2 linked regions of the Struthio camelus genome follow. The protein of the gene in region 1 binds, or shares a complex with, the protein of each later gene. Links are inferred from orthologs where the notes say so. Each region holds a gene or a part of one and is shown in the gene's direction. Other genes may lie near its edges.

Region 1 (7,029 bases):
TAAGGTTTACATGCAGTGCTTGGGAGGGCTGAAAAGAGACTGATTCCTATAATAATGCTTCCGGACTGGTCTGAAACTGTGAGTGGGCTCCCTTATCCTAGTTACCAACAGTCATTCTAATTCATGTACCACTTGCGATGGTCCCATTAGGCCTTAAAACGAGGAAGAAAGAGAGAGAGATATGCTTCGTTCATGACTCCTATGGACCTCATAAACATGTGATGCCCAAGACCAACCTGGTAAGAAAGATCCCTGTTTTGGTAATATTTACTGGATGGGTAGAAGGTATAACACCGCTGAAGTGATCCTGCAAACAAAAAAACACCCTTGCTTTAGAATAATAAGCTACTTGAGAAAGAGACACCTTCTTACTATGACATTCATGCAAATGTTTTTTATAGATAACAAATATTCATTCTATTTTATATCTAAAATAATTGGTGAAATATGAATATGGATCGTAATCTACCTTCTGTCAGTAAAAAAGGTATTTAAAACCAAATACTTAAAATGGAAAACATACACACACACACACACACGCATATGCACACAATAGCAATACTTTTAGCTATAATTTCCTGCTCATGTGGCAACATGATGAGCATTCTGAAGAAGCTGAGCCAAGTGAAAATACAACCTGCAGAACAGGTCACGTTTAAATATTCTGCTATTGAAGAATATTAAAAACTACAGATTAAGGAGGAGTGTTGTAATGCTTACATTAATTAATGCTTGTAAATCATTCTGAAACACTTGGATAAAAGATGGCACAAAAAGCGTTGCCACATGTCCTGATGTTTTTACATTTGCACAATTCCATACACCTTGTTTTGCTTTTGGAGGTTTCAAAGCAAATTATCATCAGTGAATGAATTTAGTTTTGGTAAGTGTTTGAACAGGCCAGAAAAACACAAAGGACATCCAAATCCTGATTAAGAACTTAAGAGACACTTCAGTACAAACGCAGGGTCTAAAATATCCACATTTCTTCATGTCTGAATCCAAGTATTATGGTGGCTCAACAGGTCTGGCTACTGAAAGCCCCTGCTGATCAGTGAATTAGTACAACTCAGGTTGCTTGGTTGCTCAGCCTTGGCTTGGTTGCACATTCGCATATGTGAAAATATCTTACACATAATATTCCTTCCAATTTGGTATTCCTATCACCTAAAAACTTAGACCATGCCATCAGCAGCCTGAAAAGTAAAGTATCTGAAGTCATTCAGCACATCTCTATAGTTAGTGAACGATTTATCAGCTTTCAGAGGACTTGGTACCTCTTGTTTCCACAAGCACAGGCCTTTACAAAATACAGAAATCATAGGCCACCACTACGGCCCTTATGCTTTTCTGCATCCTTCCTCAGGTCTAGAAGAAACGTGTCTTCCTTTGCACTCAGAGGCAGATAACATATTTTACGGTATCCACTCAAAAAAAGTACAGACTCCGACCAAACTCATGAAGAAGCAGAACAGCTGCCCTTGAGGTGGATGGATGATTTACCGTAGAAACGTTGCATCTAGACTGAAACAAACTACCAGAAATACCCATACATATCTTCTCCAAAAGATGAGAACACTGGAAATTATTCATTCTTCCTGGTCTCTCCCTCCTCTGTTCCAAACTGAGCGCACGTGCTGCTCCATACCCATGTCCTGCGGCACAGACCATTTGTTCCGCTTTTGCACAGCAGAACAATGTAGTGTTGTGCCCATCTCGGGAACTTCTAAAGGCGGTCTCGCTGCACATAAATAATATAAGCCGCTAGGCTGTGATGGCCAAAGGACAAACAATGATAGGAAACAGGAGTGTGCTGTGATTCAGAGGAACGATAAGAAAGCTGCTGGAGGCAGGAAGCGTGGCGACCATGCAAGCAGAGCACCCTGTTCTTCTGGGGGACCAGTGCACACATCATCAATGACACTTTTTTATATATACACACACATATAGATATACACACACATATATAGATGAATGCATATATATAACTAATATGCTGTGTAGGTATAACCACCTGCTAACATACTATCTGTGCACGACAGCACCTGAAAGCAGGACTATAAAATGCACACTGGATTTTGTGACAACAGGGATTAGATTTAGGTCCTTGAGGAAGAAGTCTGCCACTGGGAATGCCACATGCCATCCTTCCTACTAAAGCTCCCTGCTAGAAACCAGCAGCAGCATCGCTGCTGGTTGGGGGAGTGAGGAAAAGAGCCCTCAACGCTGCCAGAAAGCCGGGAAAACAGCCTTTGACACCAGCGCCAGCAACTCTCGCTTTTATAACACGTCTCAAATGTGTTTTTTTGCGGTATTTTTCTCTCCCAGCCCTCCCTCCACAGCAGACCGCTGTCACCAGGAAAAGGCTGTGGTGACAGAGAAACGCTCCCAAACGCCAGGTGCAAGGCCAGGAAAGGTGGACTAATAACAAAGGGTGGCGGGGAGGGGCGGGGGGGGGGCGGGGGCGGGGGCGGCGAGGCGCGGCCCGTCCCTCACACCTGCCGGCCGGCCGGCCGGCCCCGCGGCGGGCGCCAGCGCGCACACGCACGCACGCACCCACCCTCTCCTCCTCCAGCATTACCGAGGCGAGAGGCGACAGAAACCGGCCCCCGCTCTGCGAGCCGGGCGGGGACCCTCCGGGGCCGGCGCCCCAACGGCCGCGGCGCCTCCAACGGCCGCGGCGCCCCAACGGCCGCGACGGCGCGAGGGCCGCGCCCACTGGGCGGGCGCGCGGACACGTGTGTGCGCGTGTGCGAGGCGGCAGGGGAGGGGGCGCGCGCGGGCGCAGGTAGGGGCGGGCAGGCGCGCGCTCCCCCCGCCCCTCGCGGCGCCGGGCTGGGGAGGGGGGGGGGTGGAGGAGGAGAGGGGGCGGGGCCGGGCGGCGGGCGGCGAGTGGCCAGGGCGGCTGTCAATCGGCGGCGCGGCGCGCTCGCACGGCGTCGCGCGACGGGGCCGCCGCGACTGGGGCTGCGGGAGAGGAGGGGAGGGTGGGGGAGGGGGGAGGAGGAGAGGAAACAAAAACAATCGCCCGGGCGCCGCCATCTTGGCTCCGTTCTCCACGCCACACAAGTGAATGGGTAGATATGAAATTACCACAGGGGAGCAGCAGCCGCAGCAGGGTCCGGAGGGCTGTTCCGAGCTGCCAGCGGGACTCGGGAGACTCTAGAGACGGCTCCTGCCGCCACCGCCGCTCAGAGAAAAACCCCGGGCTCGGCCTTTCCTCCTCGCCAGCCCTTAAACTGCACTCCTGGAGGGACAAAGTTGGTCTCGGCCGCGCTGCCTCCGCCGCCCGGGAGACGGGAGAGTTGCGTTCAGCGGCGGTTTCCTCCGAGCCGCGAGTGAGCCGGGGTCAGAGTTAGGGGAGAGGGTGGCGAGGGGAGTCCTGCCCCCCTCCACCCTCTGGCCGGGGCTCGCCTGGTGCGCTGTGTGGGAGGCACAGCGAAGGGACAGCGGGAGTCCGGCAGCCTTCTCCTTTCCACCCCCTGCTGTGTGTGTATATATATATATATATGTATTTTTTTCCTTTTCTTCTACACCAAGCAAGAACTGGATTGAGTGAGAGACTGCCTAGGGTCTCCGTTTGAACAGCAGCGGGGCGGGTAGAGGCGCGGAAAGAGAGGCCGGGGGGGGGGGGAAAGAAATGTGTCCGTGAGGAGTTGGCGAGGAGCGTGTGTATTTACCATCCAGCAGAAGAGGCACAAGCCTGGCAACACGGGAGGAGGAAACCTGCCGCCAGCCCCGCGGACGAGGCGATAGCTGCTGTCGCCTCCCGTGCGCGCATAGACCTCGCTAGCCGCCGCGCTCGCCGACAAGCGGAATTCTCCCCGAAACACAGCGATCCGGGAAGGAAGGATTTGCCACCGAGCCTATCTATCACCCTCCTCCCCAGCGGCTGGATACTGCAATTCCCCCCCCCCCCCCAGTCATTCTTCTGTGTTTAAATACCAAATATAGTCTCTTGGGAGGGGGGTGGCAGCCTTTTAAAAGAATTGGAAATCTGATTTGGGCTCGAGAGGGCTGGTGTTGAACGGACAAGGCGAAGGCTCGTGGAAACGGGAGAGAAGGGGAAATGTGCAGCTTTCATTGACTGGCTGGAGAAGGACTAGAGATTTACCACTTTTGAGGAGGCCAGGAGGTTTGTTTGTTATCAGACTGTTGTTTCTTCCCTTCTTCTCTCCTGGGTTACGCTAAATCCCGCAGCATTATTAAAGAAAACTTCAGTGTTGCCCACGTGTAGCTGGTAGCTTTCTTTTTAAGGTAGTTTTGGTAAAGAAACTGACAGACTTCTTATCCTTCCCTTCCTCAAAGGCTCGTGACGTTTGAAACTGAAGTGGACCTCTTTTTCTCCCAAACACTACATGTTGTATAACGGGAGTGAGGACGAAAATATATTGTTTACTAATCTCAGTACGACTCCCCGATTTTCAGCACCCACGAGGGATGCTTTGCAAAGCTTGATGTGGAAAAGAGTTGGAGTGTGTTTCGAGACTTTGTTTTCCTAAGGTATCCAGCGGCTTAATTGTTGACTTTTTTAGTGGATTCGTAACATGCTTTTATGAATTAAATTTTGCCACCGTTTGTACAGAAGCCAAATGACACGTGTGTTTTGAAACACAGTTCCAAATAAATCCATCCCTGTGCCCGGATTCTCGCCAGAAAGAGCCAGAGAGAGATCGTCACTAACTTAATAAATCCGACTTTACTATTTTGTGAACGTTATACTCCTCAGAAATGTTGATATAGAGTGCATTATTCCGGTTCAGCGGAAAGGGGGATTTTCCAGCTTGCAAGACCCAGGAAACTGGATACTTAAAATCACTTAAATGTTTTAACAGCATTGGAAAATGGGAGCTGCTACCAAGTTGGCGTTTGCTGTTTTTCTTATCTCATGTTCTTCGGGTAAGTCTTATTTTTGTCACTTTAAACGTAAAGGATCAGAGCTTGAAAGGTAGCTTGAAGGTAACGTTGTTCATTAGTATGAATTAAGATAAATCTCCTTTTCAGATGACAAACGTGTGGGGCTGGCAGTGTTTGTAAAGGCATTAGCTGTTTTGATCGTTATTCTTAAGAATTTGTGTAGCTGATCGTTTCGAGCATGTGCGGTCCTTGCATTTCAGATAGATTGCGTAGAACACATGCAGAAATTTAACCACCTAATGTCATAGGCAGTCGCCTGATGATGCAATAACTAGCATGTTTCGTGTTTTAAAATATAAATAATCAAACTGAAATATTCTTAACTTCATTGATATCTCTTGTTTTGTGGCATTCAGTGGTGAATACCGGCCTTCATTAATGCTTCGTTAGCGTAGAACAGTTACTACTATGAAAGTATTAGCCTAGTCCTTTACTGACAGGAAGGGATGTGTGCACGTGTAGATGTGCACACAGAATAAGTGCAAAAGGTAGACTTTCAAATCGGTTTCTAAGCGATTTGTAAGGCTTTGTATTTTGCTATGTGTGTTTTGTAGTACAAAAGTCCATTAATTTTATCTTTGAAATAACAAAAGTTCGGTTTCTAATGCTAGCTCTTAGTCATGCGAAACAACTGGCGTGTGAGAACTTCTGTACGCTTGTTTTAGGGGGGGAATTGTTATGGTAGCAACCAGTGGCTGGCTGGACTGTTGATACATTTCTACTTGAAGCTTCATCAGTTTTACAAAAAGCTATTATAAGCTACCAATCTTGAGCGGTGTAACAGATTTAAAACTTGTTTATATGTTTCTGAACGCATCTAGAGTCCTCTCTGTATGTTTATGTATGCTTTTTAGCTTTCTCATACAGCATGCAAAGATAAACTTGTTTATCAGTCTGAGTATTCTGACTGCTGGTTTTCAGGTTTCAATTGTAACCTGTGTAAGGCATTGTAATACAGATCTAGTCACTGCCTTTTAAAATTTCAATGTTATAATGTGCAGCATTTTGCTGAACAGTACATTTTCTTGTGGTTAGTAAATGGATAGTCTAGTCTAATGTCTGTAGTGTTATTGATCAATTACGTGTGGGCTAAATGTGCTGTGAAATGGCGATCACTGCCAGAAATTAACCAAAAGAATCCTGTCTGTTTTAATCAGAGAAATAGCAGAAGAGGTTACAGGCACATAGTTTTGTGTGTGTGTGTGTGTGTGTGTGTTTTTTTTCTAAGTGTACCTTTTCTTTTTTAAAGCATATGATTACTTTTGACAATTTTACCTTTCACTAAAAGACATATCTTCTATCTTGACCTAATAATACCTAGTTTTGAAGTTACTCAAGTGACATTCCTCTTCATTCAGGAATATTTTCATAGGATACTTCCCCCCTCCCCCCCCAACTGGCAGTTTTTGGAAGGCTTAGTGCCATCTGTTCTTCATGTATGTCTTTCCGTTCCTTGTCTTTCTATTAAGATCCTTTTGCCTAGAGCACACAACAGTGATCTTGTTGAAATTAACTATCTTCCATATCAAAAAGAACTGTTAAGCAACAAGAACAGTCTTTTCTTTAGCCTTCTTGCTCTTACTGTTCTTGGTAGATAAAAAGTGAATATTTCTCTTGCCTGGTGAAAAAGGAAATAATCTTCACTAAATGAAGAACTGGCTAGATTTTGGACTACTTCATATGTTAATAACATTGTTTTGGTGGTTATTCCAGTATTAAACAGGAAATAATCCAGTATTTAACAATTATTAAAGTATTTTCTGTCCTAATATTCATCAGCGTTTCTGCTCTCCTGGTGTAGGTATAAGAATGAACAGACTTGCAGTGAGTTTTTACTTCTACTATTCAGAACTCAAAGACTATTTAAGCTTTTAGCATTAAATACATGCCTTTTGATTAGTAGTGTTTCTTCTGTTCACTGTGACTTGTGTAGGTTAGGCATCTGATTAATTTGTTCTAACATCATAGTCAGAAGTAAAAGTCTCCTTGGCGTTCTTTAGACTGGAAGAAGTCTATCCAGATTATTTATTTAAGTATATTGGCAATAGTTGGAGAAATCCTAGAGTTCAGATGTAAAGACATGTTCTTTCTTTCTCCAGTATACAGTCTCCA
Region 2 (6,955 bases), on another chromosome or scaffold:
AGAAGGAACACAGAATAGAGAACTTTGGCCTTGCCAGAGAAATAAAGCCATTACCAATTATTTTGCAGCTGGCCCAAATGTATCCTTGATAAAACTCCACTTATCTAAGTACAATTCCATGAGGAATGATTGTGATGTATGCTTTGTGCAACAGTTGAAGTTTTAAACAGCATGCAAATTAATTTAGTGTAATCCTCTTTTTTTGATAATAGCTTTAATTCACCTATAAATGTTAAACGCTGCTCCAACTTTAGCCATAAATTATTCATCCAACTTGGAACCAAATAGGATCTGTAGTCTGGAGCTCCCTCCCTGTGTGGTTTAAATTATTTGATGCGACTCTAATCACAACCTCTGGAAATATCACTTGAGACATTTTACACATTGCAGAGCTGTTTCTCAAGAAAAGAATGACTAGTCCAGTAATGTACTGAAAATCTTCGTGCCATAAGAACAAGGCAGGACACTAGTTTGTGGGAACGCTTTCGGTTCTTTGGACTACCCTCTGGAGTCGTAATTTACCTCTATACTTTCTATGAATTCAAGAAAATTCTCTCTGTAAATAGTTTTTCCCCCACATGTTTTAGGCAAGCACTGATATATTATCGAACACATTTGTGTCATTTCATCTCACGCTGATAACATCATCTGCGTCACCTGGCTTATGCATGCATATCTCCTGGTTTTTAAGTGGAAAACAGCAATGCATATGCTAAAATAACATGAACATAAAAATATCCCTTTTAAAGGAACAGTTCATTGTTCAGTGAATCGGAAAGAAAGAAGATCAATGAACAGCATGGCAGAAGACAGAGGTATCGTTTAGAAAGGAAAACAACATGCTTTCATTTGTTAGTCAGATTGACTTTGAATGAAGACAGATCTTCCTAAAACAGAGCATTCATGCTTATCTTGCCCCCCTGAGAAAAGTGTCATTCATTAATACAAAAAAAGGCAAGAACTTGAAAGCTATTCTTTACCCCACCCTCCAGACAGAGTCCTTATCCTTAGACGAACTTTATTTTTTGACCAGCTCTCTAATTATGATTGAAAACATTGGCCCCTCTAAGCAACGCAAAGGCTTTAGAGTGAGCAGCAACAGCAAGACTGGCCCTAATTGGACCATTTACATAAAATGGGGAAACGTAAAACTTCTAAGTTTCTGGCACATCCTGTTTTGCTATTACAGTAAAACAAGGTACAGCAGAGCGAGATTCCAGCTGATTTGCGCAGAAATCTGTGCCAATGTGTTTTCTAGTGACTGCTCTTCAAAGCAAGAACGGAGACACACAAATACCGTTGTGTACCATGCCCAATTCCAAAACAGCCAGTAAATCATACAACCTCCAGTAGGTGAATAATGAGGTGGCAATGGGCCATTTTTTAACGGTTTGTAAGATAAAATCCACAAAAAGGAAAAAGAGACAGGTTGCTGGTATACTACCCTTTCTCTTCCAGTCCCTTCCCTTTAGTTATTTTTGACCCGGCAGGGAACTAACATATGCCTGCAAGCCAACTCGATCGCCTTAGCATCACTCTGGAGTTTTATGTGGTCTCAATCAGTGGCATCAGAATTTAAGTTAGAGAAATCCCAGCTTCACTAAATGAACAATGATTATCTGGATTCTGAAGCTGCCAGGAAAAAAGAAAGAAAGAAAGAAGAGAGGAGGGGAAAAAAAAAAAAACATGCTACAGTCTTTCCGAAGAGCAACTGCCCTTTCTGGCAGGAAGGGGTAAAAATAGAGGCAGCTCATTAATATGGCTTGGCAGTGCTTAATGGCAGCTGGTCTGAAGAGTTAGATCTGTGGGTCTTTCCAGCAGTACTCCCGGACCACTGCCAGCAGGTGTTGCTGTGTTCAACAAAATGAAAAGAAGCAGAGGGGTGGGGAGAAAAATATTTATAAAGAGAGAAATAGGTGTGAAAAAAAATTAGTCACTGAGCAAAGCTTTCATTAGGCCTTTGGTAAAGCTATACACATATTCCCTGAGGCAATAAGGAGCATGCTCTGAAATGAATAATGCTTTTCACTTCTCCTAATCTCCTTTCAGAAATTATCCTGCACTATAAATCATATACATGTTTGCTGTGCTTCACTCGGTAGCCTTCTTTTTTTGTTACAGACCACGCTTTCTTACTGGGGATGTTGTGATCTGCTACAGCTGTGGAAGAAGATACTAAACCAGTGGTTGCTGTATCAGCATGGATATAGCAGTGGTCAGGAGTGGTCACCAGTGCCAGCTGGTGGGAATAGAGCATCTCACACTTTGACTCCGAGGAGAAGATAACCCTGTTATTTTCAGGACAATTTTTCCACTGTCCGTGTAGCACAAGATCTCTTACTGAGTACACACGTCTGCTGCCAAATTACAGTAGCCACTGCACTACCACTATGTAACTAATTGCAAAGAGTTTTAGGATGCCACTTAAAACCAAACGCAGTTTGGCCCTGGGAACAGAGAATTCCCTGCTGGAAAAGTTATTTGCCAAAACTTTGTTTTAGGATCCCAGTTAAAGATACTGTCCTGCAAGTAACTAAGTATGTGCGTGCGCCTCTGGAATGGAATTATTTGTTCTTCTCAGTCTGTTTCTCACTGTCCCTGAAGGAAAAACAAACAAACAAACAAACAAACAAAAACCCCTATTCTTTGTAACAACTGCAACTGTGAATGTCAGACTGCAGCAAAGCTACTGAAACCTGTTTCAAGAGGCTTCAATCTACAGCATGTCGCAGCCTGAAAACTTATTATATGCATATTAGACCTGCAAACAAAACAACCTACCTGGGCATACGTTTCCCATTAACTCTTAATTTTTTGCTCATTTTACCAAAGTTGTTGTGTGAATTCAGCACGTACCTCAACCGCGATCAGTGCTGCTATAAGCACTCCCTGGTACCACTGCAAGTTGAAAATTTCATATCCTTCTTTCCTGATCCAGATCAGCCATATTCCAAGACAGATCAGATCTACATTACCAACAGGACATAAAAATACAATTATAAGTACGATTCAGGCCAAAAAAAAAAATCTGAAGGATGGGGATTTTCTGGTAATCAGTGGGTGTTTTGAATGAGTAAAGACTGCATGATCATGCCATTTGTCATAAACGGTACCACATAAATCCAGTGATTATGTGTGTTTAAGAAAGGAGATGGAATTTGGATATGCTTTTGACCTTGTATATATTACTTTTGCACTGCCTAATAGACACAGAATTATTTCTGATTTTCACTAATGTAAACTGAAATCCAAATTGAATTTTATTTCATACGTGTTAATATCAAACTTGCAAAAAAGATGATGTGTCATTCATTGTAACTTATTTTTAGCAGTCTCAACAGTTTTTAAGTGTGATGCACTCTGCGTGTAAGGAAGCCATGGGACTTGGACAACAGCAATATGATTCATTTTTGAAGAGCTTTAAAGGTACCTCTAAGTTAACAGAAAGAGATTCTAAGGGATCGCACAGAGACTGAATCCTCCAAAAAGGATTCTGAATCAAATGCATTTTCCTGAATTTGAAAAAAGTCCAGATTTGCACATAGATTATCTGATATTTCCTTGGTATGAAAGAGGAATAAAACAATTTGCTAACTAGTAATTAAGTATCTGGCAAATACTGTATCTGAACTAAATCAGTGGTATCTACATCTAATAATATCTATATCTAGCTATGCAATAAAACAAGTTGGAGTGTGTCTTCCTGACTCACAATGTTTGCTTTCAGTCTGATTTGAAGTTCTGTTCTTTAAATGGGTACAGAGATCACCACTACAAGTTGAATCCACGATATTTTGTCATGCTAGACAATTAGGAGTTTCCATTAGATAATTACCAGAAGTATGTCTCATACAGGAAAAACAGTCAATTGCTGATGTAACTGGATTAACCAATCCCGCGCAGTGATCCGGCCCCCTTACTTTTGACAGACATTATTTTGTGAGTGTAGACATGAGAAGTACAGTATAAAGCTTCGCATTATGAATACCACAAAGAGGAACTTGAGCAGTTCTTAATGCACAATACAGCAGTCTCCTTCTGAGAGTGTGAGGACTGGAGAGGTAACAACTTTAAATCAGTTTTTTTTTTCTTTTAAAACTAAAACTTTTAATTAAGGTGCATGTTGTTGCATATTGTCATGGATGCTTTGAATGAATGCATAAACAGAGCTTTGCAGCTCATGAAATTTTATAGAAAGACTCTGAACCATCATTTCTATATTTTTAAGCATGAACATATATACGTGTATGGATGTAAGTATGAACGAACTATATATAGGCACAATCAGTAGACTCGCTTTTAGAAAATAATGTTTTATATAAAGTTCTGCTTTAATGTTCAGTCTATAATCATCATGGCATGCAAGTATAATATGCTATATCTATACGTAATAGAGACTGTGTGTAATAAGTGTACCTAATATATATGGCAAGCAGCGCATACTCCGCATCACGAAATCAAATATACATATCTATATTTTATGTTGCTATATGCCTGTCCCTTACTTTTCATCAGACACTATTGGGATAGGTGCTATGTGAGAACTATAAATAACCGCTCTAATTATGTCATCTGTTAATACATCTAATCATGAATGCATATTTTCCTCTCAAATTATTTTTTCATCCAATTAAACTTTTACTTCTATTTCAAGCTGACTTTCAGACTTCATATAATTACAACAGACTTTGGGCTGTTCATGAGATCCAAGAAATTTAGATGTATTATAGTGAGGTTTGTGTTACAAAGATGTGTTTATAAGAATGGCTGCAGGGTTTATAATGCTGACAGACCCATAAGTGTAACAGTATATAACAGTATAGTAACTGAGGTCAGTAAAACACAGATGACGGTGTACTGTAGATGCCTTATAACAGTGAAAGACTTATAAAAGAGCTTAATTGAAAAGGACTTGCAATATATAACATTTGTAAAACTTTGGTTGATTGTTCAATTACTTCTGTATGTTTCATTTACTGTAACTATAATTCCTTGCCTGTCTCTCAGACCATGTGCCTGTAGTCATCTCATGGAAACTAGAGAACTTACAATGCTTATATTTATAAATTACTCCTTTCCACTAAAATGCAATGGCTGACAGTAATGCAGTGTAAGTGGCATATTTGCTGGGTAGGAGGTAAGCACACCTGAGAAGACCGAGGTGTGCAAGGGAGAGACTGAGAGAAAGGAAAAGAAAGAGGGTGAATACCAAAAAAGTAGAAGCTGCTCTAAGAAAATCTATTAACGTCAAAGTGCGGCGGGGAAAAACCTCAGAAGTTTGGCTCAGTAAGCCGTAGTTCTCTCCTTCTGCGTTGCCGAGTTCAAACCTAAGGGAATGTGTTAACTTCGTCCTTGCTAGATAAGGAACAGAAGGGAGACGCTGCAGAATACAAAGGCAAAAAAAGTCACGGCAGTGACACAGGGAATGCTTTTGCGGCGCAGGGGGAAAAAACCCTCGCTGGCATAAACTGGCAAGGATGTACCAACACTTGTTGAAACTCTGGTTCCCCGTGGCATTTTCGATCGCTTTCCATTTGCAATGTCTTATTCTGATATCGTGATTGCTCTGTGTGGTTTAATTGAATGAAACGAGAAGTGCCTTGCAATACCAATGGGCCAAATGTAGATGATCTTACTCAGCCTTCACTCAGACAAAATTATTATTGGCATCAGTGAGGGATTTGCCTGAGTCAGGAGCAAGTATAATTTGGCCAGATGACATGTAACACTTTTCATCTTCAAAGCATTTTTCAGACGTTACTTGATTAACCCCAAACCTAAATATATCTGCTTGAGAAACGCTAGGCACAGGCTAGGGCAGAAGCAGGGATATTTCTGGTGCGAGGGCAGTACCTTAGCACGTCACAGATCTGAGCTCCACCACCTCTCGCTCGGGCTTTCAAACCTCACTGCATCCTGCAGCTGGAGAGCGTATCAAGTATTATATAGCCCACCAAACAACAGCGTTATTTTGCTCCCGTCAGATCTCTTGCCAGTGTTGATAACCTCCAGCATTGAAAAGTGAGCAGAAAAGACCTTTTCTCTTCCGCTCGAGGCAGAATAACGTTCTGCCCCAAATATTTCGAGCCCCTGCCTCCTGCCCCCTCTCATTCACAAGCTATTTAACATCTCTTGCTATCTCTAACAATACCAGACAGGACCTAGAGCAAGGTGCTCATTAATAAAAGGTTTCACCGTTTTCATTCATTCATGTTTCCTCTGTTTAGTTAAGCCAGTGATACTGTTGAAGGAATAAAACAAACAAAACCAAAAAAAAAAAAAAAAGAAAGGAAGGAAAAAAAAAAAGGGCGGGGGGGGGGGAAATGACAGCCAGGAGTCAAACTGGGGTGGGGGGGGAAGGGAGTAAATGTACAGGAGAGAAAAGAGATTTAGAAAGGGGGGAGGGCAGAAAACATGAGTAGTGATATTTGAAGAGAGGTGTGTGTTAGGGGAGCAATGAGCATAAGGAAGCCAGCCTGCCTGTTCCTCCCCCTTCCTAATCATAGCCTTTACTCACAGACAAAACTCCCTCCCTCTCTCATTCACTCACTCACTTTAGGCCAATCCGTCCTCTCTCTCTCTCTCCCTCTCTCCCTGTGTCTCTCTCCTACTCTGAGACAGAGTCAGAACTCTTCTCCCTGACAGCCACAAACATCTACAGCACTTATTGCATGCAGAGGGGGAACCTGCAAACAAAACTTCACAGAAAACTTTTGGTTCTTTTTCCAGAGAATTTGCTGAAGAGAAGGAAAAACAAACAAACAAACAAACAAAACAAACCAGCCCAAAAAAAACCAAACCAAACCAAACCAAACCAAAACAACAACAACAACAACAACAACAACAAAAACTGTGCGTGAAGGGGGAGGAAAAGCAGGGCCTTTTAAAAAGGGAATCACAACAACTTTTGCTGCCAGGATGCCTTTGCTTTTGAAGAGAGGATTTTTGTTGGTGC

The links.
Region 2: the proteins of ACVR2A (region 1) and INHBA are in contact, whole or in part, in a crystal structure (PDB 7U5P), measured with the Homo sapiens proteins. The link is inferred for Struthio camelus from reciprocal best matches to the Homo sapiens genes ACVR2A and INHBA. Residues at the interface, in NP_001265508.1 of Homo sapiens: Asn36, Asp53, Lys56, Phe61, Thr63, Lys65, Val74, Lys75, Cys78, Trp79, Leu80, Asp81, Asp82, Ile83, Asn84, Val100, Phe102; in NP_002183.1 of Homo sapiens: Ile340, Ala341, Pro342, His346, Arg397, Pro398, Met399, Ser400, Met401, Leu402, Tyr404, Asn409, Ile410, Ile411, Lys412, Asp414, Glu421.

The regions. Positions count from the first base shown.
Region 1 is NC_090947.1:43,328,264-43,335,292, forward strand, and holds the start of ACVR2A (activin receptor type-2A), read left to right. Parts: upstream 1-4,012; 5' UTR 4,013-4,844; coding exon 4,845-4,899; intron 4,900-7,029. UniProt on the Homo sapiens protein: On ligand binding, forms a receptor complex consisting of two type II and two type I transmembrane serine/threonine kinases.
Region 2 is NC_090943.1:59,022,869-59,029,823, reverse strand, and holds the start of INHBA (inhibin beta A chain), read left to right. Parts: upstream 1-3,951; 5' UTR 3,952-4,061; intron 4,062-4,443; coding exon of another isoform or gene 4,444-4,450; intron 4,451-6,427; exon of another isoform or gene 6,428-6,729; 5' UTR 6,730-6,918; coding exon 6,919-6,955. Other genes in the region: uncharacterized protein, read right to left, coding at 2,857-2,966, 4,444-4,450. UniProt on the Homo sapiens protein: Inhibins/activins are involved in regulating a number of diverse functions such as hypothalamic and pituitary hormone secretion, gonadal hormone secretion, germ cell development and maturation, erythroid differentiation, insulin secretion, nerve cell survival, embryonic axial development or bone growth, depending on their subunit composition.